Oryzias latipes: one gene and its partner. The protein of the gene in region 1 interacts with the protein of each later gene in a pairwise test. Links are inferred from orthologs where the notes say so. Each region holds a gene or a part of one and is shown on either strand. Other genes may lie near its edges.

Region 1 (15,566 bases):
GATGATCAAAACTGATGATAAAATATGCTTCACCCACTTAACACTTAAAACTGTAAGTTTTTGTTGTCAGATAAAAACTGACAATTTAATGCTATTGTGCAAATAATGAGGGTATGGCAAGTGAAAACACTCATAGCTATGAAAACGTTGAAAATTTCCTTTGATGTAAAGAAAATAAAATTACCACAAATATTTATGAGCTCACAACAGGAAAGAAATGTATTGTTGCTATGGACTACAACTATCATTGAGTGATCAGACCACTAATAAGGATCAAGTAGCTCTAATTGTGAGGTTCTGTGGCTTAAAATGACATATTTAAAGGAAACTGCTTGAAATTTTTTACTTGCATGTAAACAGAATCATTGTGTGTGCATGAGTGTGCATTTATGGATGTAAACACTTTCTGGCCATGAAGGAACTCTTTTATAGTTTGTCAGCTCCTGTGTCCATGAATGTCAGAGTTCCTGTATTTTGGCTTTTGCTCATCTGGTGTTTCTGAGGGTGTTTTTCTTCAAATCAAACCCATCCACAGAAAGCAAAAAGGTTTAAATTGTTTAAATCGTTTTTGTTTCGTCCTCACTGCTTCATGGTAGGGGCCCTCGTGGGATTTGTGGGTAAGCATGGGTTCATTATGTTTTTGTAGAGCTGCCCTTTTTTTAGAAATCCACCGCTGCGTTTCAGTTTACTCATTTCTACATCTGTGGACTCAAACTCTCCAACTCTTCAACCTCCTTCCTTTGGCCTCTAAAAACCCTGTGCAATCTTCCATCATGACCCCAAAATTCCTTTGACCTTTCCTTCACCCCTTTGTTATCCTGCTTGTCCTCCCTCCATCCTTCTGGACTTTGGCTTGATTCCAAACCTCCTATTGCCCCACAAACCCAAACCACATAGGAAGGGCAGAGTGCCACGGAGCCAACTCCTCAGCCTGTTGTGGACCAGTGCACAGAAGAAACCCAAAGTGACTGGAATTCCAATGACGCCACCAACCAGAGTTGCCCTCAGCACAGCTGGAACGATGCGGAAGCAGCTGAGGCGGAGGAGGCCTGGAGCCATGACCAAGACTATGCGGCTCAGACATACACAGAGCCCAGCTGGGATGATGATGATGTGGGACAGGGTGAATGGGGGGATGAGGAGGTAATTTTGGAAGAGGGGGCCAACTGGAACCTGATTCATGTCTTAACTGGTCCAGAAGTCTTCCCAAATAGAAAAAAAAAACATAAATCTCATTTTCTGATCTTTTCTTCTTTACTTGTCACTCTTTAGGTCTTTTTTTTCTCTACAAAGTTTGTGTTAAAAAGCAGGACTTTTCTGTGCATTTTCTTTGTTCCAGAGTACAGTGGCCAATGGCTCAGATGGTGAACTTCCTCCAGGGTTTCTCTACAAAGTTAGTCATGTCTGATCTAAAATAAAAGCAGATGAATCAGTAAATGCACTGATATGTTCCATTTTGGTTTTTATTTATCAGGTAAAAGCAGTACATGAGTACACTGCCACAGATGGCGATGAACTGGAGCTGAACGTTGGCGACATAGTTCTAGTTCTGGCTTTTGACAACCCAGATGAACAGGTCTGTAAATCCTTGTAAAAATGTCAATAAACGAATGATTTTGGCATTGTTTTAAAAAGATGTTTTGATATTGGTAGATTTTTCCAAATTATAATCAATAGTTTCTCCTCTCATATGTCTGAATATTTTAGACTGATAGCGGCTGTGTCTGTTGTGTCTGTGTGCAGGATGATGGCTGGCTGTTGGGCCTGAAGGAGTCGCACTGGTTGCAGAAGAAAAACATTTCAGCTAAAGGTGTTTTTCCTGAGAACTTCACCCAAAAAGTTTGAGGCACAAAAAAAGCCTCCTGTTCTCCAATTTTTGCAGATTTTATTTGAAACTAATAATGTCCACCAAAACAAGTTATTTTCAGCAGAAACTTGTACTGAAAAATTACATCTTATTTGATAGAAAATAGTTGGAAACAGTGCCTGTTGGTGATCATGCAAAGTCAAAAGGTTATCCCATTTTTTATTTTTTTTTTCCTTTCCAGAATAAAAGCTGCATTTGCTTTCTGACACTGTTGTTCAAGAGTTGATGCATCAGTTTTTAAGTTCTTATGTCTGCTTCAGGTTTAATTGGTTCACATTTTTTCACATTGTGTGTTATTCACTCATGGGAATTTGCCTCAAGTTATTTCAAAACAAATGTTCGGAATTATGAAAATTTTGTTATGCAAATATCTGTACTACTTTTTCAAATCATGCAAACGTTTTATTTTTGTTTGTTTTTTAGAACAGTGGCAGACATCACGAATGGGTTAAAAAAAACAAAAAGTTTAAAACCCTGAATTATATTTTTTCAACCAGATCAGAAGCGGATATAGCACCCAATGTTGCAGTTTTTCAGTTAGTTTTGGATGAGGCAACTTTATAAGAACTTTTTTTTTCTTATGCATGAAGGATTTCATTATGTTGTCATTTACTGTGATATCAGTGGCATCAATCTGTGAAAAAAAGTTGTCTGAGAAAAACTGATTTCCTTGAACAGATCCCTGTGGTACACCACTTCTGCAAACTTTATTTTGCTGTCTAAGTCCTGCATTACTAAATGTTTACACAGTTCAGTTTGTTGTAGGTTTTCAAAGGGAACAGTAGTTTTTAAGAGACTAAACATTATTGTTAAAATGTCATTAGAAACAATTAAAAGTTTAAATTCTATCTAAACCAATGTGTTCATTGGTTTTCAGAAAACTCTGATTTGTTAAACCCCTGGACTTGTTTAATACTGAGCAGCTAAGTAGGAGGAAAAAATATCTTAAATCTAAACCTTTTTGTTTGGTTCAAAATCAGGCCTTTTTTTTAATTAAGTACACTGTCGAATTCCACATTTATCACATAAAAGAGGTTATTTTTAAACCGTGTGACTGATGCAGGATCAGATCAGTATTATTAAAAACAAATGAAACCCATGTACTCTAAAAGTGTGTTTTTCTTCGGTTTTACTACCTGCATTATGGATTTTTCAGCATAGTGATGAGTTGGAGGAACACACCATTGATCATTTCCAGAAAAAAAATTAACGCACTCCTCTATACTACCTGATGGCAGAAACATCAAGAGTTGTGCCATCAATGTAAACACATTACCGGTACCTTTTATCCAATCAAGATGCTGTTGGTATAACCATGCTCCAAGAGAACTCTTTATATGACACCATAGAAGACACGGCCGATGTTTCTTCAATCTACAAAACACAAATGAACAGAATAACTAAACTCCCATGAACCCTCCAGCACCCTAAAGAGGGTGTAGAGCTGGTCCACTGTTCAATATAACCCTTGTGATATCTTAGATGACCCCACCCTTACATTGACATGTTCTCCCTACCATGATAAAGGTGGAAAGATTTCATGTAATCCATGGACAGCAGTGAGGTTCACAAATCATTGAAGAAAAAATGTTCAGAGCACTGTCTAGTGGGTCTAGATGACCCCACTCCCAATGTTAAAGTGCCTAGGATAGCACAAGGGATAGCCAAACTGTTTGTGGATCTGAGGTTCAACTATAAGATGATCAAGAGACCTGCCCCTCAAACACAGAAAAGTCATTTGAATGGTTTATTTTTCCATAATAAAAAAAACAAAAAAATCTGTTTTTAATCAAGATTGTACAAATTAAAAGTAATTTAATCAGGAAGCTTATTTGACACAGAAACTTGTCCAATTTGACAAATAGCATACATTTTCCGAAATATCAGTGAAATTGAAAAATAAAACTATGTAGGACTATCACATAAATGTCAAAATTCATACTAATTGAATTTAAAAATGACAATGTAATTATTTTTTCCCTTTTACTACATTTTCAATAAATCACAGTCATAATGCAGCACAGTACAATATATATATTTTTAGTGTATCATTTGTATCGCTCTTGCGGTTGAAGAAACTGGACTAGTTTGTTGCAATGGATGACTTTATTCTTCCGATGTAAATGACATTACAAAGTCACAGTCAAACTAATCCACAAATAATCAAAATTAGATGTTTGACGAATTACATTAACAGATTACATACATCAATAAGAGAAGAAGAAAATCTTTTAATCCAACATTGTTAATGTTCATTTTATTTTTCCCAATCCCCCTGGCATACGCTGTTGTTCACCTATCCCTTCTGGGGTCACGTCAGTGAATCAGCTTTCACTCATTTGAACAGATGGTTTGACAAAGATTTTCACACCGGATGCTGTTTCCTGACACAACTATGTATTTTATCCGGGCTGGGGACTGGCACAGGGAGTCCAAGACTCATCCATATCAAGCTTTCTATGGAACAATAAACCTGCAAGAATTAGTCTAAAAACTTTAAAATCTGCAAAAAGCTGTGGAGGATTAGAATTACCTAACTTCCACAATTACTTTCTTGCAAATAGATTACAATACATCTTAAAATGGTTAAAAAATAATCCAGAAACCAACTCATGGTTAGACTTGGAACAGGCGTTATGTGGAAAGATCAACCTGTCAGATCTTCCATTTATTAGTCAAATAGTTAAAAGACAGGATTGTTTCAAAAGTATTAATATAAATGCCACTTTAACAGCCTGGTGGGAATTTCTCAAAATATCAAAATCATCAATTCAACCGTGCAAAATGACACCCATCTGGAACAACCCAGACATCCTCATAAACAAAAAAATTATCCACTTCCCAGCTTGGCAAGCAGGGGGCATAAAACAACTAGAGCACATAATTATTAATAGAAGATTCATAACTCCCCAGGAACTTCAAGACAAACATGGAATATATAACTTCTTGGAATATCAGCAACTTAAATCAATTATTACTAAAAAGTTTAAATACAGAGACAACGATTTAAAGCTACCAGATGTAGTTACCACTCTGATCAATTTCTCAATGAATAAAACTCTCTCCAAAATATACAAACTTTTATGTAATTTAGATAACAATATTTCACTTCCGACAACAAAATGGGATGCGGATTTGAGCATCAGCACAGATGAAAGTTTTTGGTCAGAACTTTGTCTAAACACCTTTAAAATGACAAAAAATCCAAATCTGCAGCTAATCCATTTCAAAACTCTTCACAGAATTTACTACACTGGACAGAGGATGTTCAAGATGGGTCTCAGTAACTCAGACATTTGTCAGCACTGTGACAGTAATCTACCCGACAATTACATGCATGCACTATGGTTCTGCACGCCTGTCCAGGCTCTCTGGCAGCAGGTATGTGCCGATCTATCAGTCTGGCTTAAGGTTTCAATCACAGCTTCACCGTCACTTTGTGTGCTTGGTGACATGAGTGCCATCGATGTAGAAGGAGGATTAGCATCTATCATTTTCATAACTCTTTGCATTGCTAAAAAAACTATTTTAATAAATTGGAAAAGCAAAAAAAATATAAATATAAGTCAACACAGAAATCTGCTGCTTGATCATATCAGCTTGGAAAAAATGTCAGCCCAAAGTTCAAGTAACTTTGAAAGAATTCGGTCTCTCTGGTCTCCCATAGCTAACTCCGTGACTTAGGGGGTGGGGGGGGCATGGTCGTCGCTGCTCCTTGCCCTTCTGCCGTGGGCCGGGGTGGGGGTCGGGGCCTCCGGTGCCTGGCCGGGGGGGTGGGGGCTCCGTTGGTCGGGGGGTCGGGTCCGGCGCCTGGGTGGGGCGGCCTGGGGCGCTGCGTGGTCCTCTGGGCTTGGGTGTGGGGGTGCGTGGTGGGGGGGTGGGGTGGTGGTCTGGCTTGGCTTGGGGGGGTGGTCCCTTTGCCTGTGCTGGGGGGGGTTGGCGGGGGGCGCTGCTCGGGGGGGGGGCCCAGCGGCGCTGGATGGGCTTCCCGTCTACACCTGGGGCTGGGATCGGCCCTTCCCTGGCTCTGGGGCGGGACGGGACAACCCTCTTGGGGCCCCCGGTCGCTCTGGGTGTCATCCGCTTCGACTGCGGGGTCTGGGGGTGGGGTGGGGTGGGGGTCTTGTCGGCCCTGTCCTGTGGGGGGGCATTTTCGGGGAGGGGGGGGGCACTATTGGTACGGGGCAGGGGGGGTTGACGGGTCGGGGTCTCCGCTGAGGCCATCGGCGGTTTCCCCGGCCGGTTGGCTGCCTCGGTCCCGTCGAGGCCTGACCAGAGCTCTTCTAGGGCCGGCGTTTGGGGGTGGGGGCCTGGGCTTGCTCCGGGGGGGGCCGGCGCTTTCTGGCTCCCCTCTCTCTGTGTGGGGGTGGTGGTGCTGGGCCTGGGGTGTCTGCGCCTCCGGGGGTGGGGCCCCGGGGCTGGGTGGGCCTGGCCCCCTTGCTGGGGGGGGGGCGGGGGACGGCTGTTTGACCACCGGGGGACAGTCTATCATCTGTCCCCAACTTCCCCCCTTCCTCATATAACCTCATAATAGGGTGAGGGGGTGGGGGGCTTAGCCTGCGATGAGCCTTGGGGGGGGGGGTTTACTAGGCAGTGACCCCCCTCCTGTGGTTGCCGTATGGAGTGGGCCCCCCCTCTTTCGGTTTTATTTGCACCTTAGACATGTAGGGCCCTTGGTAGGGGGGGTGCTTGGACATCACTGCCAGCAAGCAGCGGATGTCCTCCTAGCACCCTACCCGCCAATTTTAACCGCACCTTAGACATTTAGGGCCCCTTGGTGGGGAGGGTGAGGGGACGTCACTGTGAGTAATCAGGAGACGTCCCCTTAGTGCCCTACCCGCCAATTTTAACCGCACCCCCCTTAGTACACACACCCCTCCCCCCTCAATATATACATCCCAACATAAACACACACACATGCACACACACACTCTCTCAAACACACATACACGCACACACATTTTGCAAGGAAGGTGGGACCTAGGACCATCTGTCCCCTGCCTCTTCCCTGGTGGGGGGTACGGGCCCCTTTGCAACGGCGGCTGTGTCCCCGGGGTGCCGGCTTCCTGGGCCCGGCGGTGCTCTCTCCGCGCGGTGGGGGGGTTCACATTACATCTGAGCCGGGGGTGTTCGTGTCCCTGGGGGGTGGGTTCTGGTCCTTGCTCCTGAGTGCTGGGCCCCGCCAAATTTCCAACTGTGGCCGAGCCTGGTCGGGCCATATTTACAACACCCCTTGTGGGCCCTCTTTTTTCCCCGGGGTTCCCCCCTTCTGGGCGGGGGCGGCGGGCCCCTGCCTCGCTCCTCCCTGGACCAACCGTGGGCCGGGCGGGTGGCTGCCTGGAGTGCGGAGTGGGTCTCCCTTGGGGGGTCCTGGCTCGTACCTGGGGTTGGGGCGGGGGGATGCCCGGAACTCCTGGGTGGTGGTGGGGTGCTCGTCTGGGGCTGTGGGCGTCCTTCTCCGGTGGGGCCCTGCGTTGGGTTCTCCCGGCGCGGCGGGGGGGCTGCTCTCCTGGTTGGGCTGGGGCGGCGCCCTCTTTCCCTCCGTGCCTCCCTGCTCTCTGGCTCTGGGGGCCTTGCGGCGGCCCTGCTGGCCCTGGCCTGGGTGGCGGGCTTGGTCGCCCGGGCGGCGGTTGTTCCCTGCCGGTTCCCGTGTGGCGTTGGGGGGATTCCGGCTGCCGCTGCTGGTGCGGTGGGGGTCTTGGGGTGGGGATGGCTGGGCACTCTCCCTCCTTCTTTTCACGTTCCACCATCCATTTTAGAAGAACATAAACACTCACCTGAGCACAGGTGTTAGCTCAACAGACTGAATGACTGAAATATTTCACACTAGTTGGTTTTAAGGCATAAGTATGCGTGTGAACACTATCTGTTTTGTGTACATGTCGACAGGTGGACATTTTTGCAACTAACAGGTGTGTTTATAACATTTGAGTGTGTGTGTGGACAGGCTCCGCCCTTTTTTTTTTTTGTTTTTTTTTTTTTACATTTGAACCTTACCATAATGATTAACAACCAGTAAACTTGCTGCTTTATGCTGCTTCATGGTCTTATCCCCCTTCCCCTCCTATTATCACCCCTTACCCCCCCTCTCTCTAACGTCCCTCTCTCTTCTTCCCCTCTTTCCTTTTCCGTCCGGTCCAACACCAAAGATTTTCAGACATGTTTGAAATTAATAAAGTTTGGCCTCAATTACAAAAGGGGTTTATTCAGACATACCTTTGGTTTGTCTGAAGATTAATAACCTCTCTTGTTAAAGTAAAATATGTCCAACCCAAGAGGCCCTCAGCTCTCATCTGTCTGCCTAGCTGTTGGACAGGACAAGTTAAAAAAGAAAAAAAAAAAAAAAAAAAAAGACTTGGGCCCCCTTGTAGCTACATAATTAGGCAATGACACAAAGTGTGCTGCCTAAGGATTTACTGGATGAAGCTCACTGCGCCCCTGGGTATTGAACCCTGATTCCCCTTGTGCTGGACCTCCTCTTTACCAACTGATCTCCCACCATATGGAACTTCTTTAATTACATTGTGGTAAAACAAAAAGCTTTCTGTGGTTCCGCCACTCAGTAATACACATACACAAAAAATAAAATAAAATACATGATACATGAAAAAAGAATTGCACAAAACAAATTAATTGCAGAAGCTGACACTGACATTGTGGCAAATAATTGGAACGTTGAGATAACAGTGCGAGGTCTTTTAAAACTGTCATTGCACATCCTGGCCGCTTGATGACGCTCACGGTTCAAAGATGGAAAGGGCTACTCTCTTTGCTGCTGTCAGCTTGGCTAATGTGTAGCTAACTCAGTCCTGTCTCGCTGCAGCCAAAGACTAGACTTTGAACGTGCAGTTAATGCAGGTAAGCACCTCACACAGTGGTTGGTTTTGAACCTCCGACTGAACGTGTGGTTCTCTTGTTGAGAATCGCGTTAACTTTGACCTTTAGAATAATACTCAAGGAGAAGAAGAGATAGGTAAGATTAGCTGAACGCCGGTGTTTCCTTTATCGGACAAAAGGTCGGAAAAAACGAATTTTCCAACTTTATTTATGTTTTACTGACAGTCAAATGTTCATCCGTAGTGTTTTCTATTGTGTTGTCGTAGCGTGTCGGTGGAGGCTTTATAATTAGAATAGTCCCATGTGATTTGCTTAGTGTTGCAACAGAGCTGAGCAGCTGAGCTGGTTAAGCTTTTCCTTTCCGTTTCCCCATCAGTCTACAATCATGAAGAGCTCCAAAGAGGCCGTGCAGGCAGCCGCCAAGGAGTTTCTGCAGTTCGTCAACAGAGGAGTGTCTCCGTATCACGGTACACTTACACAAACACAACCTCACTAACGCATTGACTGCTGGAGTTAGCATCAAACCAAACTCTGTTCAATCAGTATTTGACTAGTAGAGACATGCAGTTCCTCAATCGTGTGTTTGAATGCAATATGGTCACATTTCGTGAGGTTAAATTCTAATTTAAATTATGGGTTCTTAAATTCGGCAACACTAAATAAACAGCTTAAGGTTTAATAGCGGTAATTATACATAATTAAAGATTTAAAAACACTAATATGTCACAGTGTGAATACGCATGAGCTGGTGGTAATATAGGGAAGATTGATGGGTGACTTTGAACTTGAGATAAGATCAACCATATATTGTGTCATTTTTTTAATCACAATTTCTCAGGAACCCTGTCTCTGTCAGACATTTCTGTCAGATATCTGAACAGAAATATCTGACAGACGGTATTATATTCTATCTGTTTGTTGTACACACCCCTTTACAAAATGAAGTAGTCAATCTGAGCATGTATGCATCTGAGCTTTATTAGTGAAGAAATTCAGGTAAATTGACGTAAAATCGGGGGTTATAAGAAGCTTGATTAAAAACTCTACAGGTACAGAGTAAGTTGAGCCTTTTAAACACTTTGCAGTTGAATCTTAAAATAGTTTTGCCTATTCTTCCCCTCTGCAGTGGTTGAGGAATGCAAAAGGCGCCTCCGGGAGGCCGGATTTATCGAGCTTAAGGAGACGGAGCAATGGCACATCAAACCAGCCAGCAAAGTGGGGTGGATTTCTGTTCCTTTTTTTCAAACCCTGAAAGGGGATTGACTTTAGGACTGTAAAAACAAAAAACAAAAAAAGAGATGATATTTCTTTTTATTCTCTGCAGTACTTTGTGACCAGGAACTATTCCAGCCTGATCGCCTTCGCTGTGGGGGGACAATACAAGCCTGGAAATGGGTTCTCTATGATTGGAGCGCACACAGACAGCCCCTGCCTCAGGGTGAGAGCCTGTCCGCCTCCTCCTCTCGTCAGCCTGCTGGTTTCATTTTTACACCGCAGATCAGTCCGGTTGTATCACCATCAATCTCTGACAGTGGAACAAGAAACCCCACATGATGCAAAGCAAGGTTCTTGTTTCAGTATGACGGGGTACTCAGACCATAACATCACATGAAGCTTAAAAAAAAAGACAGTTTCTTTCAGTGTTATAAAAAAAGCAATATTTTTGTTTGTGTGTGAATAACTATGTTTTAGACATTTTAAAAAGGGTGTAATTTGAATACACTGTTAGTTTTTAATTGTATTTTATTTTTGTGTTTCAGGTAAAGCCGAGATCAAAAAGGACAAAGCAGGGTTGTCTGCAGGTGGGGGTGGAGTGTTATGGAGGCGGCATCTGGAACACTTGGTTTGATCGAGATCTCACTGTCGCTGGGCGGGTTATGGTCAAGGTACCAGATTCTGCTGATGGGAAAAAAATGTTTACTCTTTAAGCAAATTTACCTTTTTTTTTTGGTTGAAAGTCTGATATTTAGACGCAACATTTTTTTTTTCTTTCTGTCCACATAGACTGGGGGGAAGCTTGTCCATCACCTGGTTCACGTTTCCAGGCCTCTGCTCAGGATCCCCCACCTGGCCATCCACCTCCAGCGCGACATCAATGATTCCTTCGGTCCAAACAAGGAAAATCACCTGTGAGAATGAAGCAGGCTTAAAGCATTTAGAAGCATTTTTTGTTTTTGTTTTTTTTTTTACTCTTTGGACTTGTGTGTCAGTGTGCCCATCCTCGCCACCGCTGTCCAGGAGGAGCTTGAGACAGGATCGTCATCCTCTGCAGATATTTCTTCACCCTCCAGCACGGTAAAATCGGAGACACGCGCCGGCTTATGTTTTGCTCATCTGTGATGTAGCATTCGCACTTACTATACCAGCTTTCACTTGTTTGCTTCAGAAGCGCCCCTTGGATCTTAACTTCTCTTTTCTGTTGTTTCAGTTTTGTTTGCATACAGGTATCACTTTGACTGAAGCTAAAATACCTGTTTAGATATACTCGTGGGTGGTGAAAAGGTTTTGAAAGGCTTTCCTCATCATCTTTGCCCTTCAGGCGGAGAAACATCATCCAGCGCTTGTGAAGGTGCTGTGTTCAGAGCTGGGTGTTGATGCAGAAGCTCTGATGGACTTTGAGTTGTGTCTGACTGACACTCATCCTGCGGTGAGTTCCCCCCCAAGACAAAGAACTTTAACCCTGGAGCTTCAGCTCCAATGATGATTTTCTTACAATTACTACAACTCTTCAACTGTGTAAAGCAGTTATCATGATCCAAACAGATTCTGAAGCTACCAACATAGTGTCCTACCAACGTTAAGCTTCCTACTAACGCAAGGTGTCCCAACATGTAGTGTCCTATCAATGTATTGTGTCCTACCAACATAGGGCGTCCGTTAAGCATCCTACCAACATTAAGCGTCCTACTAACATAAAATGTTCTCCTAAGTTAACGTGTACTACTGATGAAAGTGTATTACTTACAGAGTGTATTCTAAAGTAAATTGTCCCACTAGCCTATTACTATTAACAAACAGCATCCTACTAATGTAATATCTCTTAATGTGAAGTGTCCTACCAATGTATAGTGTCCTACCGACATATAGTATCCGACTAACCTATAGTGTCCTTCTAACAAATAGTGTAGAACTAACATGGTGTCTCTTGATGTAAAGCGTCCTACCGCCATAGTGACCTAGTAACAAATACTGTTCTACTATCTTATTATCCGTAGTGTTATACTAACAAATAGTGTTATACTAACAAATAGTGTCTTACTAACGAAGAGTCTCCTTCTAATGAAGAGTGTCCTACTAACGTTGCCTGTTAATTTGAAGCATCCTACCAACGTATAGTGTCCTTCCGACAAATAGTGTCCCACTAACGTTGTCTATTCATTTGAAACAAATAGTAACAAACAAACAATAAGTAACAAACAGTGATCTACTAATTTAATTTAACATGTCCTACTGACCACGCGTGTCCTACTAAAGCAGGGGTGTCAAACTCATTTTCACCGAGGGCCACATCAGCATAGTGGCTGTCCTCAAAGTACCAGATATAACTTTTACATTATTATAACTTTTTAAAGTGACAATTACAGTTGCATAGAAAACATATGTTTGCTTGTTACTCTAACAGAAATCTTATTAAATTTGATTCTGTCAGGTTATGTTATATGGACAGTGTTTAAGTCCTAATGTTTAGATAGCCAATATTTCAAGTCCAATTCCCCCTAGATATGAATAAGTACACACCAATTTTAATTTTTTATTTTAAGAAATAAAAAACTTTTATGCTCTCACGGGCCACAGAAAATGACATGGAGGACCACATTTGACCCCCCGGGCCTTGAGTTTGACACGCGTCCTACTAACGTAACGTATTTTACTAACGTAGTGTCTCCTAACAGAAAGTATCCTACTAACGGAAAGTGTTGCAAATAGGAGTAAAGCCACTTTTCTTTGCAACAGAAATAAGTTTAAACTGTTTCTCTTCATCAAAAAAAGAAGATTTTCAAAAATGAATCAAGACTTCATTGAAATGTTTTAATTGAACTGTTAACACATTCTTTTTTATGTAGTTTTCTCATGATGAGAGGTGTCTTTGCAGGTTTTAGGAGGCGTGTACGAGGAGTTCATCTTCTCTCCCCGGCTAGACAACCTGCACAGCTGCTACTGCGCCCTGCAGGTCAGACTCAGCGACTGCAACCTACTTCAGATGTTTTGTCAGTCCTCCTCCTGCTGCAGCCTCCTTCTTTTCGTCTCCTCAGGGTCTCGTGGAATCATGTTCTGGAGACTCTCTGAACAAAGACCCAAACATTCGCATGATCGCTCTTTACGACAACGAGGAGGTGAGTTCCATCCGTCCTCTCTGTCATGTTCAGATGAACTGTGCCATTGTGAGTCTGTGTGGTCATGTTTGCTGCAGGTGGGCTCAGAGAGCGCTCAGGGCGCCCACTCACACCTGACGGAGCTGATCCTCAGTCGCCTCGCCGCCTCCTCTTCCAACCTCACCTCCTTTCAGCAGGCGGCGCCGCTGTCCTTCATGATCAGCGCTGACATGGCACACGCCGTTCACCCCAACTACCAGTGAGTCCCCGAAACCTGAAGGAGGGCTTTTTCTGAAGCCTCAACCTATAGTGGTTTCTGAGTTTGAACAGTTTGACCTAAAAAAAACAACAACCACTGAATTATTAATGTCCTTTAGCAGCTTAAGTTTGGATCTTTTCTTTCAGGGAGAAGCATGAAGAAAACCATAGACCGTCTTTCCATAAGGTAATCTTGGATCTTTAAAAAAATGATGACACAAAACGAGTCGTGCGTTTACCTGACGTTCTCAAGTTTCGTTCCTTCAGGGCCCCGTCATCAAGTTTAACAGCAATCAGCGCTACGCCACCACAGCTGTCACCGCCGCCATTATCAGGGAAGTGGCCAGCCAGGTGGACGTGCCTCTGCAGGTATTTTGGCAGAAATAGGTTGTATGTCTTTGGTACAATTCTAAGAGAAATGTTTATTACTGAAAATATTGTTTTTTTTTTATTCAAAGAGATGTAAATGGTTTAAAAACTTTGTATTGTAATTTGTTTAGCTTCTGTTAAAAATGTAAAACAGGCTTTTTACTTTACTATCTAAAAACAGTTTGTTTGTAGATTAAAGAACTTTATCCTTTAATTTGAAATTTAATTTCTTCTGAAAAGCAATACTTTTTAAAAAATCTTGTTTCTTCTTTCTAAAAGCAAAGTTTTTAGCTGTTTTGTGTGTTTTTTATTGTCTTTTTTGTTCTGTTTCATAGCATTTTTTGGTAATTTGTGGTCACTGACAAATTTGAAAAGCTTTGTCTTTTTTTTCCACAACAGTTTTGCTACTTTTTTTTCTTGCCAAAAAATTAATTCAAAGATTTTTTAACCCTTTTTATATTTACTGTAATGTTTTTTTTTAAATATATATATATTTTGTGATTGGGATGGATTAAAGTCCAGATTCAATCTTTCTACAATCGACACTTCCCTGAATGACCACTAGAGCCCCCCCTTCTAACAGATACCAGCTTTCAGACTTCTCGCTTTCCCTTTGGCTGCAGGATGTGATGGTCCGTAACGACAGTCCTTGTGGAACCACCATCGGACCCATCCTGGCCGCTCGACTCGGCATCCCTGTGGTGGACATTGGCGGCCCCCAACTTTCCATGCACTCCATCAGGGAGATGTGCTGCACCTCCAGCGTGCTGCAAAGCACCACCCTCTTCAAGGTAAGTGCTACTCTCACCAAATCACAGAGAAACAACTCAAGTTTTGCTTTGAAATTAAAGTAACTGAGGGACTAAGATTTTTTTTTAAAACAACAAAGAGAAAACTTAAATTTTGAGCCTCTACAGTATTTTGCAGGGTTGTTTTTCCCTCTTGGTAAGGGGGGGGGGGATATTATGCAGCTTTTTAAAAAAAAAAAAAGGTTTGTGTTTTACTTTCTTATTTAATGAGTTTGCAAACTTTAAAAAAAATGTTAGTGTCTCTGATATAACAAAGTGAAATTGACCTGACGAGCTTCCATCAAGTCTGAAATAATACTAATATACTTTTTATGAGAGCTTGAATCTCTCTGAACTCTGCAGACCATTTTTTTTTTATTTTCCATGTAAATTTTCTCCACCTGCAGGGATTCTTCGAGTTGTTCCCTGCTGTCAGGAGCAAGCTGTTGGTGGACTAGGTCATGAAGGCCTCGCATAAGTGTTCAGGGTCGCGACGATCTCGTCAGAGAAGAAAAAACAATTTTGGAAGCCAAAAAAAATATTTTCTTTTGGAAAATAAAATCTTCAAGAAACCTGAACTGTGGATTTTCTTTTGTGAATATTGCTTCTTTGATGCGTCACTATCTTGTGAACACTCTTAGGGAAAGCAATTATTTTAAAAAAACATCTAAAACATGATCATAAAAGATCGTATCAGCTGGGAAGAGGTGGCAGTATTCCTTCCTAATTTACAAATTACTTACCAAAGTAATCCTGTACTTTACAGTACTGCTGTTTCAGGATTGTAAGGTATTACTTGACTTCTATATTACATTTTAAGTTACTTTCTTTTTTTAATCTAGAGGGAAACAGTCTGAAGTGACAATCCTTCAAAACTGATATAACATTCTAGTTTATTTTATTTGCAAATTGAAGCAATAAAACAAAATAATAGGGTAATTAATCTAAGAAAAAAGAGAACTCAAGGCCCATGAGCCTGAGTGTGTTTATTAATCCAAGTAGCTGAAACACATGTAACCCTTGTGCTATCCTAGGCACTTTAACATTGGGAGTTGGGTCATCTAGACCCACTAGACAGTGCTCTGAGCCTTTTTTCTTCAATGATTTATGATCTGCACTGGTGTCCATGAATTA
Region 2 (15,780 bases), on another chromosome or scaffold:
TTGGCACACCTGGACACCGTGGGGTGTTTTACCTGTCCTATGAAAACGAAAGTAGGCATCTCCTGAGAGCTGCACACTGTGCTGTAAGTGTCTACTCCATCGGAGAGAAAAGTTGGAGGATGAGGAGCTAAAGAGGGAACAGGGAGGTGGATTGCACCTGCTCTGAGAAGATGCTGGGTTTTTTATTCTGTAGCTTTAGGGAGGGACAAAAAAAAAAAAACATCTGTGGAGAAACACAACTACACATTTAAAGTCCCACTTCCATCATCTTTTGATCCATTTTCGAAGCATTCCCCGACATCTTTTCAATTTGATGATGCCATTTTTAGCCAAAAATGTTTTAAAAACCTATGCTGTTTTCTAGATCCGTTTCTGCAGAGCAGCAGTTCATCTGAAATTCACCTTTAAATTGTGGGCGGGACTATTGGCAGGGAGTAAGCCACGACTCATTTCCCATCATTCCTTTGATGAAGCCACTTGGATGAGCAGCGAAACGTTTCAACGGTGAAATAGATGTAGGTCCAGTTGCTATGACTCAACCTCAAGACTTAACTACGAGCTTTTTCAAATATTATTTTCTCATCCACTCCTGATAGAAAAGGATTTGAATAAAGACATTCTCAGAAATGCGATTGTAATCTCAATTTTCTTTATATATGTCCTCCATCATTTAAAGAAAAGGCTACAAGAACATGTTAAAGACACTATTTTTATTTAAGTGGGACTTTAAAGGAGGCAAAAGAGAAGGTAGACTCTATACCATTCAAATATTTTTTGTTGCTCTTTGTCAGATCCTTCTTGTCACTTTTGTTTTCTGATACTTGTTCCAGTTTTGATGTTCTGCTTTAATCCATCTTTAAATCTGTTATATTTTAATAATAACAATTATTTAATAAATGATTTAGGGTTATTTTCCATTCAACTCTTTTGTTTTTTTAACCAACCAATTCTATGACACTAATGAAAGCAAATGGACCACGATATTGAAATGATTTTAACTTTTTTCTTAACCTTTTCTTTTATATTTTCTTCTAGATCTGGGTATCGCTGACAATTATTTATGTTTATTTAATATAATTTTTAATGGATTTTTCTCCTTCTACCTAAAACAGTTTTGAACGGCTATGACGAATAAATTATATCATAATGTTCTGAACATAGATGCTACCTGCATAGGGAAGTTTTTGTTTAACAAATTAAAACGGGAAAGAAAAACCAAGAAGTGTAGAAGATCGTATTATATGAGTTCATATTGCATGTTGTAAAATAGCTTTAATCCTTTTAGTCTGTTTTTATTACACGGGCCTATCCTTTAACATGTACAATGTCCAGGACAATGTTCTGTACGCATAAACTGAGCTAGAATGTGAACTTTTATGGTGACATAATGAGACAACAGCGAGAATCTTCAAACAATAAAAGCATCCTCACAGGACAGGGCAAAGACCACAGCTCACTCAGGTACTGCTAGTAGTGGTTGATGTTCAGGCACATGTGGTTAATAAAACCAAACATGCAAAAAATAGGCCCCATTGCAGCAAACAAATTTAATCAACCAAAGTTTTTGCATTAGAAAAAAAAACTACATTTTAGCAGTAATAATAGTTTTCATACACACTGGATCAGTTTAATTATTATTTGGTGAAAATTTGTGAATTCAGAGTCATGGCTCCATCTGAATGATGGTCTTTTTGTTTTATTTTGTACGGAGCCCGTAAGTACGGTGCCTGAAAAGGGACATAAAAAACTTTTTTTTACCCTCAAGTGCTAGTGCCACGAGAAAGAATGTTATTTGTTCTTTTGTTTACTTCTTCGTTCCTTTAAATGCTGGATCTCCTGCTGTACTCACAGGTCAGGACGACATGCCCTTCCTCGATCCGGCTGCTTTCTGGGCGCACGCGCAGGTCTATCTCCGCGGTGTCCAGGCTCCTCTGGTTGGTGGCGGGGTTGTAGGAGCTCGCGGAGCGGCAGTGGTCCCGCAGCCACACGTAGTTAAAACGCATCGGCGTGTCTCCATACTTGAGTTCTGTGGACGTGACGCGTTTTTGGAGTGAGAGCGTTTCTGGCGGAGCAGAAGCGGTGTGTGGAAACCCCCAACTCACTCACCGAGGCAGTCGTCGAGGACACGCAAACTTGCAGCGCGAGCGTCGGCGCACGCGCGGACCTGCAGAACCCGGTGTCTCCACTGCAGCCGCGTGGCCGAGAGGGCGGGCAGCCGCCGAGCGTGACCCACCGCAGCCCTCAGTGTTCTGTTAAACATCCCAAAACTATTTGGATCGATAAATCAAACCAAATATCAGTAAACTAATACATTCGAATTCTAGGCGGCAAGTCGTGCAACAGACCGACAGCTCTCCGCTTTAGCGTATGTTCCAACCCAAGTGTAAAATTTACGGACGGCTTTATCTCCCTAAATATCTTCGTTTAACGAGAAAGTGGATGGTTAATAATTACATGAACAATGGATCTCATCTGTTGCCTCAATCTGTACCTGGATTTGATGTTTATTATAAACGGCTTAGAAGAGTTGACGCATGCGTTGTTCCTTTGTTCCAGTTTCCGGCTGGAGCACTAAAAAAAATACCAAATAGTTGACTTCTGTTATATTCGGATATTATGACGAAGTATTAGGTCCAGCATATAAGAAAAAAATATATAGATAAATATATTATGATAATTTCCTCAAATTGTATGTCAACAGTTGGCCATAATAAACATAGTGAATTTTGTCTTTGAAAAGTCACAATTTATTAAAATAAAGTTCATTTACAAAGGAAAAACAGATCCAGTAAAATTCTGGAGCATTGGGATATCCATGTTATTCATCTAAATTGCAACAGAAATTAAACAGGAAATGTTTGATTTTCTTTGTTGAAATATATTAAAAGATGCTTTTATTTTCACAAAACGAAGTCATTGAAGGGCTCAGTTGGTTAAGTGTGTGAGTGGAAACCAGGTTTCAATTCCCACAGAGCAAGATTAGCTTCATCCAGTGTGGGTCCTTGGGCAAGACCTGTTAACCACTACCCAACTATGTAGTTACAAGAGTCTTGATGAACTGCAGGGAAGGGCATTGTACATAGAAATCTCTACCAAACCACCTGTGAGACTAAGTAAAAGCTGAGCAATATGCTGAAAGGTGAACAACATTTAATTTTTTTTAAAAAGCACAACTTTTTCCTTGTAAAAGTACAACTTTTTGAAGCATAATCTTACGATTTATTCTCAAATTTATTTTTGTATATTTATTTTACACTACTACTGTACATACTCTCTTGTTGGGTAGTTTTAGTCAAAGGTTTTTGGTTAAATATAAGCGATGTGTACATTTATACTCATAAAATATATTTTTGTTCCAACTGGTAATAAAGATCAGAGGCATCCTCAAAGGTTGCTGTCCTATTATGTGAGACTTCTTAAAGAAATTGATTTTGATCTCAGGGGTTGAGCGGTCGACCTCTTATCAGAAGATTGAAAGTACGGTTCCTGCCTTGCCCACCCATGTGTCGAAGGGTCCTTGGGCAAGACATTGAACCCCACATTGCTCCTGGTGGTTATAGGTTGGCAACATTGTTCTGCAGCGGAGCCGCCATCAGTGTGTTAATATGTGTGTGTGGGTAAATGGGACTGTGACTGTAAAGCACTGTGGGCCACCAAGGAAGGTGGTAATGTGCTATAAAAGTCGGCTACACACCATTTACCATTTTAATATTTTTGTTAGTCTAATGTTTATCTTTGCATTATCTTAGAAATAGAAACAACAAAAAAGAATAAAACCAAAATTTGATTGCTTTAGGAACATGCATTTTCATCAATGCATCTAATTGGAATTTTTGTTATTATACCTTCCTGAAGGAGGAATTTGGTAAAAACACCTCAAAGAACCACCTTAAAGAAGAATGATATATCCTCAAAGATCCGGATGAACTTCTGTTGCTGCAGTACTGAGAACATTCTGTCAGGCACGGGAACTGCACTGTTTCAGTCCAGAAATCTCTGCAGAGGGTGGAGAAAACCAATGCATCTCAGGAATTCCACTTATACTCAAGAGAACATTTACAGTAAGCATTGACTCACCATGACACGCAAAATTATAAAACAGCTCTATCACGCTCCCAATAAGCTCCATATACCAGCGGGGTCCAAACAAAAAGATAAAGTGTGTGATGGTCTATCAAACCATTCAGCATGCATTTTTTAAGCCATTATAATAACATTCAATGCAAATAAACCATTTAATTAATATATATATATATATTTTTTTTTGCAATGGGATACTTTTTATTTTGTCACATAAACAGAAATATATCCACACAATTTTACCAAAATTACTTAGAATTTCTGATTTAAAAAAAAAACAGAATTCAAATGCAGAAATATTCTAATAATAAAATAACTCTGGGTTCATATAAAATGATACATATTCAAGAAACCATGAACAACTTTTAAAAAGTGCTGGAAGCCGCTAATCATTGATTTTATTGCAGGAGCCTGCAGTTCCAGTGGGAACACCGACTGGACTTTGGACATGCCTGCTCTATACCTCCTGCTGTCTGGGAGGGGCTATATGAGCCTCCAGAGCAAAAAAAAAAAAAAGAATTTTCCTCCACAGCTGTTTCTTTGCTGAACTCCATTCGGTCATACACACAATGCCTGAACACTTTTTCGCACACTGACATATTATTGTGTTGTAGTTTTTTTCTGTATATCACCCGTTCTGTTTTTAGTTTACACATTGAAGTTACTCATCACTATTAAATATCCTCCCTGTATCAAATGCATTGCACTCACCTTAGCAAAAAGCAGTGCGGTGAAGTTTTAAGACTTGTGGTTTTTGCCTCACAGCGAGAAGGCCCTGGTTCAAATCCCAGCTGTGACCTTTCTGTGTGCAGTTTGCGTGTTCTTCCCATGCATGAGTGGGTTTTTTTCTCTTACCCCGGCTTCCTCCCACAGTCCAAACATGCTTCATTGGTTAATTGGTTCCTCTAAAATGTCCCTATGTGTTCATGTGCGAGTGATAGTGTGCCCTGCGACCGACTGGCGACCTGTTCAGGGTGTACCCCAGCTTTGCCCATCAGTTTCTGGGACAGGCTCCAGCAACCTTGTCACCTCGAAAGGGATATAGGGTTAAGAAGACGGATAAAGTTTTATTAAGGATATTAAAGTTTTAGGTTTCTGCCTTGGTTTCTTGCCTTTTCGGTCCGTAAGACTAGTCACAATATTCAGCAATCAATATTTGCATTTCGTTTAACCTGTTTGGTTACATAGCTGCCGGTGAATATGAAATGTCGGGCTGCCAATTTAACGTTGACAGAAGAAACCGTTCAGTGGGGCTGGACCCAACATTAAATCATTTTGACAGACAAGCACTAGACACTAATGCTGATTTATGATTTTTTTTTCTCCCCCCATCTTAACAAGGATAGGAAGGGTATTACAAAATATCCTCACAGTTTAATAGCTTGTCAATCTTTAAAAATGGTAACACACATCCAATGCTTCAGACTAACAAAATTATAAAACACTTTCTGAGGAGGCAAACCCTACAATCAGATTAAATCCCAAATATCTTTGTTTTGTTGGATTTGAAAAGTCATGGAACGAAAAATGATTTATTTACTCGGAAAACTACAGATTGGAAGGGGGGGGGGGGTTGAAAAGGTAATGAGCAATTCTAAAGATTTCTGAGAAGGAAAATTCTGAATTGCTCATCATCCTCTCTTTTCCCCCCATCCTCTGTAGAAAACCTACTATAGAAAGAGTTTTAGTCACATCTTTACACATAATAGTAAAATGTTCTTAGCAAAAAAGTGTTTGAATGTAAATCAATTCAGCTATCAAGTTGTGAAGAGGAAGCTAAACATTTAGTCATGACAATCAATTGAGCAGGGCTTCGAAATATCTGAAGTGATGGGATTATTTCCTTCTATTCACACCTTCTATCAAGCTTTTGGATAGCTTTCATTACTTCCGGGCCATATGGGCTACCCTGTAGGGCTGAATGGGATATCATAAATGATGCATTTAACACCTGGACAATTCATGTCCTCCTTTCTTTGCAGTAACTTCAGGTCTTCCCTTGTGGTATCCTAGGCACTTTAACATTGGGAGTTGGGTCATCTAGACCCACTAGACAGTGCTCTGAACCTTTTTTCTTCAGTGATTTGTGATCTTCTCTGGTGTCCATGGATTACATGACATCCTCTCCACTTTTATTCACCTGTGTCAAGCTAGGGATAGCACGTCAATGTAAGGGCCGGGTCATCTGGACCCAACAGGATAGCACAAGGGTTAAAGAAAACTGTCATTTAACTCAGGATATGTCGTCAATCAGTCTTTTGAACATTTTGTTCCATTCACGTGTCCAAAAATAAAATAAAAAACCTGATTTGGGCACAACTTCACAAAATTCACATTTTATTGACTACAATTTTTGAAATTATTGTTAAATCATTTCTTCGTAAATTCAAATCCTCCCACGCACACTCTCGGGTGATAGTGCGGGTGACTGGGTTGTTTTGCTTCCCTGTCTGCGGATTGAACAGCCCCCTCTGACAATGCTGCGGTAATGTTGCGTTCAAGGTTCCCCGAACAGTTTTTAAATTAGGGAGTTGGTCAAACGGCCCCTTTCCTTTAACGTAATTTGAACCGTAGATTTTGAAAATGCATCGACAGCAAAAGTCTCATACTTTTTTTTCAGAGCATTTCTTAAAATCCGGGATGGGGCAGTTGTTGTTTTGTTAAGAAAAAAACAAGGCTACATATTGTAATATGTGCTCTTAACATTACCGCAAATTGATTCTAATTAAATAACTCGAATTTTTGTTGTTTTTGTTGAAAGTTTTGAAAAAACAAAAAGCACAACAACAAAAAATATGTGTAAAATATCCTTGATTAATTTGCAGGAAGGAAACATAAGAAACACAATAATAACATAAAGGGGGGAATCCGTAAACATTGAAAATTTTCGAGAGCGTGTAAAGATTTTATTTAGTACTACAGCGTCGGAATGCAGAAATGTCCGAGTTCGCGTCATAGCTTGAATGGGTCATAGCCCCGCCCCTCCTGACCAGTCTCATGTTTTCATGCTTTGTCAGCGGTGCCCCGCGGTACATATCTCATGTTCTTCACTTGCTAACGATCCAAACTTTGGACTTTCATCTCCAGGAGTGACTGGTGTCATCGTGGAGACTCGTTATCAGCTGTTTCATCAAGTATCTGGCGGACCTTGAACGGGGGGGGGGGGAGGCAGACCGGGTTCACAGTTGTTTTCTTCTTGCTAACTCTGTGCGCGATGACGTTAAAATACAATAAAACCGAGCCCGTGCTGATACAGGAGCCGGTGGCCAGCATCCGGACAGCCCTTTCTGATCTCTACCTGGAGCAGCTCCTTCAGAACAAACCGAAGGTGGACAAGGTGAGCTTTCTGTCGGGTTTCCGCCGTGTTTGTTTTCGTTTTTCATGGCTTGCTCGTGTGCTTCCGGGAAGCAGATAAAACGGGCTACAAAATTGTGCGCAACATCCCAGGATATAAAAATAGACCCCCTGAGAAGTTCCGTTGCGCAAACTGGTGCAGGTCAGCTTTTTGCAGTCTCAAAAAAATGACGTGGGCGCTTCCCAGACACTGAGTTGACAATTTCACTTCGTCTTTTCCTCACATGTGAACGTGGTCCAACAGGGTGGTGTTGTGGGGAGAAATGATCCCCTTCTCAAAGTTGATCACGAATCCTCGGGACGTTTGAGTCACATTGATCTGTGGAGCCGCATCTGCAGTTTTTCCCTCATCAGGATTTGCTTGTTTCCTAATCTGTTGGTGGGATTAGAAAAAAAAAATCTGTTTTGAACTTTAAATCTGGTGGAAAGTTCCACAAAAAGGATTAAAAAGGTACATCGGCTACAAATTAAAGCAGGATTTTTCATGACGAGGGCAACTTTTCTTTTGTTCTGCAAATCTCTGCTTTTGAAAAGTCAGCATTCAGACTGTTCTAGGGACAGAAAAGACGGAAAGCACTTCCCCTGATATCAGCAGTTTGCAAGTGTGTAACCTGAAGTTGCAGTCACACTTGTGAGGTAGCACTGATTGCAAATCAGTTTATCCTACTTTAGTCTGTAAAAGACACAATCATGTTGTTGTTGTTCTTGTTTTTTCTTTTTGTATAGTGGCTCAAAATTTAAGTTACAAGTTAGTCTGATGTGCCTCCCCAGGCTCCATCTGAGGTTTGTTTTGCAGCCTTGAGCTCTGATCCTCTGATCTTCACTTGCACTACAGGCTTCAACTGTCCTTTGACCTACATAGACTTAAATGGAGACTGTTTAGGTCTTAACTAGTCCTAAACATACTTTCAAGTCACATCTGGTTACTCCAGCTGACTGAGATCTAAGGTGTCTCTTGGATCTGAGGTTTTCTTTGTAAAACAGACACAATAAATATATTAATAAATATATTTTATTTGGAGTGTTTTGGGAGTTTTAAATGTTACTTATGAAGCGCTCGTGACTCCAAAAAAAAAAAAGAAGGCTGGGCATCACCAGACAGATCAGTAGAAGATGGAATGTTGCCGTTGAACATCAACAAGCCTTAAGGCCAAGTTTGTTCTGAGAATTTGGACTCTTTTGACTCGGGTTATCTTGATTTCTTATTGACTCAGTTCTAAATAGAGAGGACACCACAACACCCCCACCGTGGGTCATGCTTTCTGAATGGACTGTTTGGTCCAGAGCAGAGCATGCTGGGATTGCTTGCTTGCCTTAAAAGTGGGAAAGCTAACTTGTACTTCAGAGCAAAGAAGTTGAGTTGCAAGTGGATCCTGGTGTGGTTCACTTCAGTGTGAAATGCAGATGGGCTGTGCAAGGAATCGGTGAGGAGAAGAACGGGCAAACGTTAACATTTCATTGCCGAAAAACAGAAACACACAAATCCAACGGCAAAAGCTTTTAAAAATGTCACGTAAACATGATCTAAACGTGCATATATGTGAGATTTTATAGTAACTGAGTGATGATTGGTGACAGTTTGGTTCACCCTCATGACTGCAGTGAGAACACCAACTCAACATTTTCTAAACCAAATGTGTCAAAATTACAATGTTTCCTTGTTTATCATAGGGGTTATGTTCTAAAAATAACCCACAATAGGTAAAATGTACAGATGATTTGCGGCTGTAAAACCCCTCAATACACACTTTATACACTTTTCTCAGGCATGAATATTTTCCCACTTTCCTCTGTTGTTTAAACACTCAAAGTTCCAACCTTCATAGAAAAACACACCCGGTTTTAAATAATAACAACAGAAATCTTCTCCCGATAAGAGATTTGTGTAGATTTATACAGGAGACACGTCACAGAGGAGACTGATTGACGAGGTCTATAGCCAATCAGGATGCAGAACACAGCTTGTTGTAAAAAAAACAACATCCAAAATTGCACTGCAAGAGGTGAAGCGTGATATGACGAGGGACCCCTGTATCGTAACTGAATGATGACTAGTGACAGTTTGGTCCACCCTTATGATTGCAATGTCAAACCCACTTGACTTAACATTTTCTTCTCATTTATACCAATTTTTTTCCTAACTATCCTGTTCTGAAAGATTCCTTACTGACGCACATAAGACGACTACTATTTTATTTCCTACAATAAGAGAGAGATCTGATTGGTCTGAAAAAAAATCAAAAATTTCGAATTTTATTTTGTAAATCACATAAGTCCTTTTTTTTCTAATGTCAGGTAGAGGTGTGCATCTCTCTTAATGTAGCTTTTTTCTCCTCTGGGCGTCATTAGGAACCCTGTTTAGTACTTTGTTTTTCCCATCCAGAAATCCGATTTCCTCCTCTCAAATGACTTCCTGCTTCCACTCGTCCCTGCAGGGCAGTACACGTCAAACTGTTCATCAAACCTATCAGTCCTCTAAATAGAATAAATCAAAGAGTGCTGTTGTCTGTAGAGTTCTCTTGGCTCCCTGATGAAACCAAACAGCGTGAGTTAATCAGTCAAGCAGATTTCTCTTATCCAACCATTCTCCTCTGCTTAACGGTTGTCAGGAGGGAAACCTCCACTCTTCTGAAGTGGATAAACATCCGTCTTTTCCTGTGATTTGGACTGGACTCGTATAAATTACAGCTCTTGTGGACAAACTTATGGACTCACAAAAATAAATCTCTTATTCCGTAATACATGTTTAGGGGCTGACTTCCTCCTTTCAGGGGTGCATCTCCTCTTGTGCTTGTACAAAACTCTGACATCTGTCGCAGGGAAATTTCAAGTTTCATGAAAAGTTTACAAAAAAATAACACCCCCCCCACCCCCAACCTGGACAGCTGACTTTATAGGTGATGTTTATCGGTTTATTATTGCGTTGGAGCTGGAGGGCAGATAACGGCTTTTTGCTGAGGCAGCGCTGATGTGTCATTTTAATGCAGAAGCTGATGTGCTGATGCAGGTTATTTGACAATTTTGGTGATTCATTTATAAACTCTTTCATATCCACCGCATTCCACTCATTCCCACTCCTAAGCCCTGTCTTATCAAAGAACACTAAGGCAGCTCTTTGGTCTCATTTAAAGGCTTTCCTCTGATTCAGAGGAAGTCGCAGAAATACAAGTGTCCGTATTTCTGTTCCCAAAACGTCTGAACACTGCTGTGAGATTTTCCGAGGAGGCTCGGTCTTTCTTAGGTGGCTGCTTTCGCCCTGCGTAGGTCCTGCTGATGGTCTCCATGACCACATGAACCTGTTGGATCAGATGACTGCACGTGGTTAATAAAGCGTGAGAAACGTTGGGTTAATTTTCAACCGCCAACCGACATGGAAGCTGCAAATAAAGCACAGCTGTTGGCACACGCCAGCAGAAACTCTCTGCGCTTATTAGAAATATTGCAGAGATTAATGATCTGTCCAGATTAACTAGGGAGGGGTCTTTTTCCTCCCTTTTCTCTCCGTACAGGCAGCGATGCAGACCTTTGAGAGCAAGGGGGCCGAGGTTTACACCAACGGTTGCGCTGGACACACGAACGGCACGGAGCTGACCAGGATGAAGGAAGTGGTTTTTGAGAAAAGCGCCTCAGAGCCGATGGTATTTGACCTCCTCTGCAGACACAGAGTGGGTGTGGAGTGGAGCTGCTGATGGTGTGGTGTTTGTGTGCAGGGCGTCACTCTGAAATTCAACGACAAACAGCGGTGCACCGTGGCCAGAATACTGCACGGAGGGATGATCCACAAGCAAGGTATTGTGGGAAAACCAGAGGATTCCCAAGAATGAAAGCGCGCTCATGACAGGAGCTGATTTGCCCTTTTTGCGTTTTTCCTGCAGGGTCTCTACACGAAGGAGACGAAATCGCAGAAATTAATGGCAACAGTGTTGCGAACCAAAGCGTAGACCAGCTCCAAAAGATTCTAGTAAATTTCAAATCTGGTCACCTGTTTGGATATTTTTTGTCTGCTTAATAGAAAATCTTTAATTCAATGCTTCTTTACGCAGAAAGAAACAAATGGAGTCGTGACGATGAAGATTATCCCCAAAATGCAAAATCGCTCCAGGATCTGTCAGGTGAGGACGAATGGGGGACGCATGGCTTTGAGTTTGGGGCGCAGAAAGTGTTTCTGTTGGAAGGAATCCGAACATTTTCCCTTTTAAACTTCAGTTTATATGTAAGGGGAAAAAAACCATTAAGCTTTGTAAGTTAAGGTATTTTTTAAGGTTTAAAATGAACATATTTCGAGCTTTTGTGCTACTAAAGACCGCTGTCTACAGTACCACAGATTTGTAAACCCTTTAAAATCAAAGCTTTAGCTCCAGTGTTTACATCCTCTCGACGACTGTAACCCGTCAACTGTTTACGCAATTTGGGTAATTCCAGTGAATTCTGAAGCAGAGGAACTTGCTCTTGCGCTGATATGCTACACCTTATGGATGTGTTAACGCGATCAACGTAGATCAGCTGACCCTGTCGCAAAGTGTTGCCTAGCGGTGCAAACAATATGAAAAGCCGCTGTTGTTGTGGGAATTGTTGTTGTGGGAATTGGGGTGAAGGTTGAGGAGTTACAGTAGGTCAAAGAGCGTACGCTATTTAGTTGTCTCTGGCGACATCTGCGGTAATTAAAGGGTTAAAAGCAGCCAGTTTGAGCGGATTCGGCCATCTCATACTCTCTGATCCAAGCATCCTTCCTCATCCAACGTGGTCTTTTGACATCCTTCTCATCTTGTATCTCAGTTGAAGGCACAAACTGTTTTTGTTATTTTTTTATTTGATTTATTTTTACAATGGGTTGATGTTGCACAAGTATTGCACAAATTCTGCAGTTGAGTGACTGGTGAGTACTCGCACCAGTGAAGTTTATGCTGGGATCACAGTCACCAGTATGAGGGGCCGTACAAAACGTATTTCATTCTGAACCACTCACAGACCACACAAACATATATATTCACTTTCATCCACATACATTCACTCTCGCATACATACATTCTAATAACATGCGTCTAATAACGAACTTTCTTCAACGTCAATGTGAGTTCACCATTTGAACGTCGGATTGACATTTTTATCAGACGTCAAACGGAGCTGCAGGTCCAGCAGTTTTGCTTCTGTCTGTCTGTCAAAAACCCAGTCCTGGATGTCTATAGGCCTACAATGTGTCCACTATTTTATGTCCAACAATGACCTCATTTGATGTCCATTTTAGTTTAACAAAAATGCCAGATAGACATTTTAATGACCCATAACAGGAACATGCGGGACCAGGGCAGGATTTGAATTTATTTAATTTTTTTACATTTTCATGTACTGTTTATTTTATCTTCTTATAATGTAACGATTGACTGATATGTGGTAGAAAATTATTATCTAAAAATTATTTTATTTTTATTTATTTATTGAGACTCAGAATTTATTTCCCCATTTTCACTGCAGGCGAGTTATGCGTCAGTCATTTATGCTTAACTACGTAGTCAACTCCACTCTTGCTAAAACGGCCCGTCTGATCCGACCGTGCAGTTTAGGGTCTGACTCTGAACCGTAGACGTACATATGACTGGACGGAGCATCTCTGACGTCACCCTTTGACTTCTACAGTCCCCTGCTTGAAGCCTAAATTGCCAGCTCGCGGGCGCAGCTGGCTGGAGTTAACTCCGCCCATCTGGGACGTCCCAAATCTGGTGAAAAGAGGCAGGACTGAAGGAAGTTGTTTTTTTTCCCCACGCCCACGGTTTATGCCAATCCGCGATCCGCTTTAGCTATAGTCTCCGACTCGCCAATGCTGAAGTGGACCAACGTTTACATCATGAATCGTTATCAGTAAGTACTTGGTGTTTTACTCAGAATATGCAAATCTTTTACTGTATAGCAGTGCAAGATTTAGACAGCAATAAAAACATATTTTCATGTGTTTGAACAGCCGGCTCTAACACATAACACGTTCAAATATGTTATTTCTGTGGTCCTAATATGTAATATCAAAATATACTATGTTATTGTACCCTTTATATATGCAGTTTTTAAACGATACATGAAAACAGTGATAGATTAAGGTGTAAAACGTCTTAAAAGTAAGGAGTTTTTTTTTTCCCCCTTAGTTGAGCTGAATATATTATCATCAACGTCTTAAGACTCGAGCTAATATTTGACTTAACCCTCTACACACCGTCACAGGGCTCCAGTTAAGCACAATGCTGCTCTGCTGCTGACAATCCAATAGAGCGGACTTAAACATTTTTTATTTTCTGGCCTACAAGGAAGAGCAGCTTCTGATTTTCTCACTGCTGAGGATGTGAATGGGCGATGTCAGGAGCCTGGAACTGGTCACCAGGACAAAAGAGGACGTCCAGTAGCTTTGCGGTGCTCAGCCCTGATTTCCCCTTTTTTATTTTTTTTATTTTTTTTACATTTCTTTCTGAATTTTTGTTTTCTTTGGGTAGAAATGTACTTTAGGATGATTTATTAGGGACTTCAAATGTCAAAAACAGTTAGTGATGTGATAGATGATGCTTTGTAACCATTACATTGTTCACAAAAAGCTTTTTTCTCTTTTATTAATTATAAATTTGAAATATTTTTTACTCGACATGATTGAAAATAATTTCATCACACCTTTGCTCTGCGGCACACAGCCATCGTGTCAGGTGATTGCTAAAAAAGGTCCCTACTTTCTTTCAATGAAGGATAAGATGTACTGAATTGTCAGTGGTCAATGGCCATGACGTTTTGAATAATTGAATCTGTTTCAAAAAGAAATAAATGTTCAACAGACTTGACTTTGACCCAGATTACCTTTTGCTTTTCTTGCATATTGAAACAAACTGAATCAACAGAGGTGACTGGTCACTCAAATATATAAAACTTACTTTTTATTGAATCACCCTTCAGCAGGATTTCTCTACAAATGTAACAATTAAACATTGTTCTGCATTAAACTTGTAAATGTCGGATTGTCTTGGTTTATAAGTCGACTCAACACAACACGACACGTACCTGGAGAGGAACATACGAGACAAACGTGAAATTGAAATCACAAAACAATAAGTAAAAAAACTAAACATGTATTAATTGATTGCTTAAATTAAATTATATGTTCCTGTTGGAGTAGACTGAACTATGTTTTCATAGTTTTACTTCAAAAATCTGTGTGATGTCACTTGCTTTATGAGATAATTAAATATGAATTGAAGCAAATGATTAAATATATTAATGTAAAGACATTCAGCCCCCGCTTGCTAGAGTTACCACTTGGTCTATTGATGTGAGCATGTGGTGGCCTCTCAGCCAATCACAGCACGTCATCATCTGCCACTATACTACTTCTTTCACAAACATATTTACTTATTTCACACACATGTATATACATATATATACTTCTTTTGCACATATTTCTTTCACATACAGCTCTCAAATTGTCCCAAAAATATTTAATCTAAAACAACACATTCGAATTAATCAATTAAATCGATTAATCGCCAAGCCCTACTAGATACAAATATCAATTCTGCCCATATTTGCAAAATATATCTGGGAACTTTAGATTTATTTCATGGACAAAGTTAAGCTTTGTGCAACATCTGTGCAGTCCCAGTTCAGTAAGATGAAACCCAGAATTTTCACTTGTTGGCAAATTTTCTGAGAAATGTGTCCAATTTTTTTGTTGTTGTTTTTTTGTGGACTGTTGAAACCCATACAGAAACAAGGCTGTATGATTCTCAAAGGCTAAAATCCAGAAAAAAAAATACACCAACAGCCCTGTGAAAATTCTGCAGCTTTTTACCTACAATTTATTCCAAAATTAAGGAAATTGTTAGATTTTAATGTGAACAAATACTAATAACCACGTTCAAGGCTGGGTTATTATATTTTTGCTACTACATCTTTGTTGGTCTTTGAAGGCTGCTGCTGATGCATCTGTTGAGCAAAAAAAAATTCAGAAGAGCTTTTGGTTCTTTGTCCAACACAAGCACAAAAACCCTTTACTTTTATTCATTTATAAAATGTGTTTTTCTTATTTAAAAGATAAATTGTACCTATATTTGATGAGAAATTGGACAAGCATGTATCCATTTTTTATCTATTTTATTCATAGAAATACATGAAAACAGTCTTTAACTGCTGAGTTTTTAACCTTTAAGTTATATTTGTTTCCATAGATATAAACTGTGAGAACACTGAATGCAATAAGAACTGGTGTTGCAGTTGGGTGAACATGAATGTGCTGCGTCTGATGCTTCCTGCAGCTTTTGCATTACAGAGCCCTGCAGGTCTGAGTGATGCCGATTGAAAGCCTGAGCGCTGCAGCCATTC

The links.
Region 2: the proteins of dnpep (region 1) and mpp1 interact in binary tests that used the Homo sapiens proteins (3 or more experiments, as listed by UniProt). The two-hybrid records come from large-scale screens. The link is inferred for Oryzias latipes from reciprocal best matches to the Homo sapiens genes DNPEP and MPP1.

What each region holds. Positions count from the first base shown.
Region 1 is NC_019860.2:11,514,354-11,529,919, forward strand, and holds dnpep (aspartyl aminopeptidase), read left to right. Parts: upstream 1-8,593; 5' UTR 8,594-8,719; coding exon 8,720-8,725; exon of another isoform or gene 8,726-8,840; intron 8,841-8,861; exon of another isoform or gene 8,862-8,883; intron 8,884-9,080; coding exon 9,081-9,171; intron 9,172-9,830; coding exon 9,831-9,919; intron 9,920-10,028; coding exon 10,029-10,142; intron 10,143-10,464; coding exon 10,465-10,590; intron 10,591-10,708; coding exon 10,709-10,833; intron 10,834-10,914; coding exon 10,915-10,999; intron 11,000-11,243; coding exon 11,244-11,351; intron 11,352-12,797; coding exon 12,798-12,875; intron 12,876-12,957; coding exon 12,958-13,038; intron 13,039-13,115; coding exon 13,116-13,276; intron 13,277-13,422; coding exon 13,423-13,462; intron 13,463-13,542; coding exon 13,543-13,644; intron 13,645-14,267; coding exon 14,268-14,435; intron 14,436-14,839; coding exon 14,840-14,890; 3' UTR 14,891-15,010; downstream 15,011-15,566. Other genes in the region: myc box-dependent-interacting protein 1, read left to right, coding at 597-617, 898-1,143, 1,340-1,393, 1,475-1,576, 1,744-1,845.
Region 2 is NC_019872.2:19,055,927-19,071,706, reverse strand, and holds the start of mpp1 (55 kDa erythrocyte membrane protein), read left to right. Parts: upstream 1-7,060; 5' UTR 7,061-7,294; coding exon 7,295-7,417; intron 7,418-10,943; coding exon 10,944-11,072; intron 11,073-11,144; coding exon 11,145-11,223; intron 11,224-11,309; coding exon 11,310-11,395; intron 11,396-11,477; coding exon 11,478-11,546; intron 11,547-15,780. Other genes in the region: tmlhe (trimethyllysine dioxygenase, mitochondrial), read right to left, coding at 1,850-2,026, 2,107-2,249, 2,492-2,571, 4,513-4,530. UniProt on the Homo sapiens protein: Essential regulator of neutrophil polarity. Regulates neutrophil polarization by regulating AKT1 phosphorylation through a mechanism that is independent of PIK3CG activity.